2 linked regions of the Saccharomyces cerevisiae S288C genome follow. Each later gene encodes a partner of the first gene's protein in a complex. Each region holds a gene or a part of one and is shown in the gene's direction. Other genes may lie near its edges.

The links. The genes of interacting proteins can lie anywhere in the genome.
Region 2: CGI121 (region 1) and GON7 share a complex: the UniProt entries of both Saccharomyces cerevisiae proteins name them as parts of the EKC/KEOPS complex.

What each region holds. Positions count from the first base shown.
Region 1 is NC_001145.3:203,626-207,011, forward strand, and holds CGI121 (Cgi121p), read left to right. Parts: upstream 1-2,016; coding exon 2,017-2,472; intron 2,473-2,578; coding exon 2,579-2,668; downstream 2,669-3,386. Other genes in the region: YMD8 (Ymd8p), read right to left, coding at 1-478; LFT1 (Lft1p), read right to left, coding at 761-1,783; AMD1 (AMP deaminase), read right to left, coding at 2,803-3,386. UniProt on the Saccharomyces cerevisiae protein: Component of the EKC/KEOPS complex that is required for the formation of a threonylcarbamoyl group on adenosine at position 37 (t(6)A37) in tRNAs that read codons beginning with adenine.
Region 2 is NC_001142.9:81,835-84,319, forward strand, and holds GON7 (chromatin DNA-binding EKC/KEOPS complex subunit GON7), read left to right. Parts: upstream 1-1,613; coding exon 1,614-1,985; downstream 1,986-2,485. Other genes in the region: alpha-1,2-mannosyltransferase MNN5, read left to right, coding at 1-81; ATG36 (Atg36p), read right to left, coding at 261-1,142; MNN11 (alpha-1,6-mannosyltransferase), read left to right, coding at 2,234-2,485. UniProt on the Saccharomyces cerevisiae protein: Component of the EKC/KEOPS complex that is required for the formation of a threonylcarbamoyl group on adenosine at position 37 (t(6)A37) in tRNAs that read codons beginning with adenine.

The sequences.
Region 1 (3,386 bases):
TGGTGGAATCGCTTGGTTTGAAAACCATTAATGCTACACCAACAAACATAATTATTACTGAAAGTGCCAACTTCCAATGAAACTTTTCTAGCTTGAAGATACAGCCGAATAAAAGGACAAAAGCTATGCTCGAAGATTTGATAATTGTATAAATTGTCAAGGGAACATACTGGAAGGAAACGTTACTGAGCCCGATATCACCTGCAGAAGCGACTGCCGTAGGGAGTAAAAATTTTAGAAAAAAACTCCAGTTAAAACCATTATTCTTTCTTAAAACGTTTTTCACTGGCTTATGCCTGAGCTTAATGTATATGCCGGATAGTAACCATAAAGTAGCCTGATGGAATGTTGTCACCAACACGGGATACCCAATACCCAATCCGTCCTTCGGATCGAACATCCATCTATTGTATATGGAGAGAGCTATTGAACAGAAATACCATCCAAATACAAATGCCAAAAAGACAGTCCTATTCATAGCAAAATGTGACACGAGAATTGAAGGTATAAACACTCGCTGTAACAACTTCAAGTGATCGTGGAAGTGATGAAAATGCAGTTATGAGTATAATCAGGCCAATTGACACTTTAAAAAAACAGAACAACAGCTTCTCGTGATGCCACTATCCCTTATATTTCCAGTTCTAAGCCATCTCCTTCTCATTCTCGACAAAAAAAATGGGTGTGATTATTTTGCGCTTTATTTTTTGGCGTCTCGTCGCCGATGACTCTAATAGATGTTGAAGCCTACAAGCATCTATTATATTTTCTTCTTTGGTTGTAATGGGATGAATGAATCTAGAGTTAATGAAGGAGTGCTGGCAATGCTGGGCTCGCTGGATGGATGATAACTAGATTGTGCAGGTACCTGTTCAAATCCATCACCATCATCATGTTCACTGCATCCAGTGTTAGTAACTGCGGGCTCGTGTACTTTGGGTTCAGCTTGTTGATCACTCATACTCTCTTGCTTTGATTGGATGGTATTTTTATCACTGAAAGTTGTATCATCGTCAGGTGATAGGCCAGATTTTTGGCTTACCTCATCCTGAATTTCATTTTTGGCCTCTATAGGCTTTTCGGATTTCTTTTTTGAACCTGATTTAGAACCAGAATGGCCCCAAAATCCAAAAAAACTCTTCCTTTTCGACTTATTTTTCTTTGTCTTATCACCGTCTGATTTCTTCTTTTCTTTGGGCAATTCCTTAACAACGAATTTCTGTAGCGGGTCCACTTTGAAATCGGAATTAGCCCACGTAGAAGGTTTCTTGCCATCAGCTGTATGTGCCTCATTTCTCTCAAATCTTTCTTCCACCATCCAACTTTTGCTATTGGGCTTTATACACTTATCAATCTCAGCAGAAGCTCTATCAAATAACTGACTGGTAGTAGTAATTTTGGGCTTGTTGCTTCCTCTGCTCGGAGAGCCCTGCTTGAAGGTTGTATTTATAGTTTCTTGATGAGAAGTAGGTGCTACATTATGACTCCAGGAAAATAGAACTGGCCCATCCAGCTGTAAAGCGCCAGAATTCATAGTTATGGTTTTTTCCTCATCAATCCAATCTCTTTGTATTTGCCGACATTTCCCATCAAGTTTGTCGGTACTCAATTTATTCCCCATTTGCATAGGTGAATGAAACAAACAGTTCATCAACCGCCTACCGTTCGCTACTTCATCTAATAACCCATATAACGACACATCTCCATTTTTGGCTTGCTCGGAGTCATCTTGCGGTGTGTATTCCTTACTGAACAACTGGTCGATTATTTTGTTTTCGTCCATAATTTGTCCTTCCCAAAAAATAACCAGCTTAGATTCTGACAATGCTTGTTTCTTTAATTGATGATCTGTAATATTCGTTGATCATTAATACCATTGATTTCAATATTTCATGTTTAATCTTTTGCGCGAAAATTTCAATTGCAAACCAAAATATACATCAACAATCTTTTATCGGTCAACAAATTTGTCGATATAACCAAATATACGTCGTCGCTGCCCATTATACAATCATCATGGTAGTATCCATCATACCGCAATTTCCTGATATCAAGGTTTCACTAGCATTGTTTGAACAGGTTAAAAATGCTAAAGAAATACGCTCTAAAATGAGTGAATTGTCGACATCCTTTGCCTTTATTGACCCCCGGTTAGTCTGTTCGGGGGAGCAGATGTATTCTGCAATTTACAAGACCTTAATAGAAGTGAAATATAACAAGATGAGAACAAGAAATTTGAATTCCGAGTGCGTACTATGTCTTTCACCCACTTCCAATATTAGTGATGCTTTCCTCAAATTCGGAATCAAAGACGATTCGTCACAGTTAATATGCCTTAAGTTCCATACTAATACTGACGATGTAGACAAAGAGCAATTGAGGACGATTATGACTTCTATAGTAAAAGGACAAGAGATCGAGTTTAATGATGACAATTTATCGAGATTTTATGACGAAGCGCTCATAAGAAAAGTATGTTTTAATAATAAATTCGAGGTAAAAACTTCAACAGCCTCACCAGAAACACATTGTACTAACTTCACCTTTGTTTTCCTTTTATTTTGTTTTTACCTATTAGATCTATAAATTAAGTGATGATTTCAAGCCCCAAGACGTAAATGGTCTCTCAAGAGCTTTGGTAGACGCTATTCAATTGAGGGGTGTGTAGATAAGAGATATCTAACGATAAAATTATAAAAAAAATTCTTTGATTATTTTTCAGATTAGTATTATTTGTTCTCCGTGAAGTCAGTGTATCGAACTGCCAAAAGTTCTCCTTATATACATGTGCGCGTATAACCATCACTTTTCTTCAATGGTTCTCTTGAAATTGGCAAAATGATTAACTAATTCCAGTTCAGTTGATAATGTATCGTATCTGTAGTTAATTCTAATATCAGGAACATTTGTTCTAACCACATCGTTACCTTCAACACCACTCTTGTCAAAATCTTTCCCTATCCAATGTTTTTTGATTTGTGCTTCCCACCCACTTTGCAACACGGAATTTCTTGCCAATTCACACATATCTACATTAGACAATTTATAAATTTGTGCTGCAACTGAGTATTCTTCGATTAATGGTTCTCTGGTATATGAGAATTGTAAAGGATCATCTGTGGATAGTGAGACATTCAAACCTCTTTTAAAGTATCTCGGAAATGGGTTTTTATCATAGGTCAAAAATAATGCGTTATTAGAAAGGGGTGACATTGCGATACCAACCTGATCTAAATAGTATAAGTATTGAACAAATGGAACTTTCCTCAATAAAATACCATGTGATATACCATGTGCCAATAGATATGCTGAAACGAGATGCTCGGGGTCACCGGCTTCACCACAATGTGGTCTCAAAACCAAAGTGTTAAACCCTCTCTTAGCCC
Region 2 (2,485 bases), on another chromosome or scaffold:
GATGCAATGTGTGAGTATTTGACCAATCATGTTAATTATCTGGAGAGCACACACAAAGAAGCTATGGGGGAGAAAAACTAATGAAGTGATTAACTATAATAATTTAATAATAACTCGCCATCCGACCTTGTATAATATAATGTAGCATATATGTGCACGGATATATATACATCTTAGAAAAAAATGAAAAAATGAAACCAAGAAAAAACTAACTGATGGTGTTCGGACAACGTTTTAGAATGAGGGTATCTAACTTTCTTCTACCATTCTCTGTCCAAAAACCTAGAAAGTAAAGTCCAGCCAAACCAAGATGTGTTTTCCAACGACGAAGACGCTGCGCTTGGTGAACGGTTTAATGTTTCTCCAGTGCTCTCATCTGTAAATCGTGACCGCGATGACGAATCTATATCTACGTCTGACAACCTGTCGAATTCAAGAGGCATCGAGTAGTAATTGAAAATAAAGTCACGCTGGGGGAAAAAAGATGGTATATCGTCAAATATTCTTTCATGATGGTATGTCAATAATTGCCGGCGAGTTTTCTCGCGGTAGCATGTTCTTAGAATTGGATACAAGTCTCTTGATAGTTTCTGCACAGCAATTCTTTGGGCATTTGTAAGTTTCTTTAATTTCGCAGAGGTATAAAGTTCTCTTTCCTTAAAGGAATAAACGGGAAATCCATGATTGACACCGTCGCTTGATTGAGGGACATTTTGATGCAGCTCATTAAATAAATGGCTGCCCAAACACCACTCATCGATCCGGTCAGAGTTACTAGACGATCGAATGTTACGAAGAGCGGGCGCCGGCTGCTCTGAGGGCGGAGAATTTTTATTGCTGTCACTGGATATCGACAGTATAGCAATTTCGTCAGAAGGAACTTCGAAGGCACTACTTGCAGATTCCAGTGTCTCATCGCGACTAATGGCAGTATTTGTACATTCTGGAGATAAATCTGGGTTATTGATAACCCTTACATCATTGAATGACTTTAATCTATGGAAGTCTAGCTCAAATTCCTCTTCTGAGAGTTCCAGGACTTCAAATAGCGATTCTTCATCGTGAATGCCGTTATTAATTCTGGGTTGAATGCGAGCAGACCTTGACCCGCAATCAACCTGGTAATTGTTCACAGATGCCATTAATGAGCTGTACTGACCACCAAATTTTAGTATTTTAAGCCCTGAATACAACCTTTGCTCCTTGTCGACATTCGTAAGTATATAGAAATCTATCCCTTCAAAAGATTTGTATTATTCGGGATTACGCTACAGCCGCACGTAGATCGTACGTGTATAACGATGTTTATCTTGGTGAAAGTATCTTAACGCGAATGCTCTAGTGATGGCACAATAGAATAGTGTCTTAGCACCACAGAGCGTGATTTTTTAAAGCTCTATATTAGCAACTACGATAGGTGTTTATTTAGTTTCTTTGTTGATCTTCCTGTTTCCAGTGTTACGGCCTTGTCAGGTCAAAAATTTTACCCGGATCTCTAGTAATGAGTAACTTAAGAATATCCCATCTGATTATTGGTAGTTTTACTGAACCAAGTTAGAGCTAAATAAATATATACAGCCGATAGTGCACTGGAACCTTATCCTAATATCTCAATGAAACTACCGGTAGCACAGTACAGTGCACCAGATGGTGTGGAAAAAAGTTTTGCACCAATACGCGATGACCCTCGATACATGACCACAGAGGGAAGGACAACTGGGCCCAGTGACCATGTGCTAAACGCTGGCCAAATCGATAGAGACAAACCTTCAGAACCGGAACGCACGAAAGATGGCTCACAACTGACATACTTAGGCCAGCTGCGCACGCAGCTGACGGGGCTACAGGACGATATTAACGAGTTTTTGACAGGAAGAATGGAATTGGCAAAAAATAAGAAGAAAGCCGGCGCAGACGAGAAGCGGATCCAGGAAGAGATTAACCAGCTATTAGATGGTGGTGACGGTGACGAAGATGCTGTTTAGGCAACGATATGTAGCGCTAGAGAGTGTATATACAAACAGAAAAGAGTCTAATGATAAATGACAAATATTTCGTTACAAGTGATAATTGTTGAACTAGGAAGAGTTGATATAAAAAAATAATAAACACACGATGGGATACAGTTAAGAAGGATTGATCGACTCCTAAATGATGCGAAGAAAGCCAATTTTCAACTTGGAATCATCCTGCCGGTTTGTTGTTGGTGTTAGCTGTGTTAGGACTCGTTAAAATGGCAATCAAACCAAGAACGAAGGGCAAAACGTACTCCTCAAGATCGGTGGGTTCGCAGTGGTTCAACAGGCTTGGTTTCAAGCAGAACAAGTACGGAACTTGTAAATTTTTGTCGATAATAACGGCCTTTGTTTTTATCCTCTATTTCTTCTCCAATCGCTTCTATCCAATTTCTCGTTCCGCCGGTGCATCATATTCTCCATCCCATGGGCTGTATATTAACGAAATTCCTGCCTCCAGCCGGTTGATT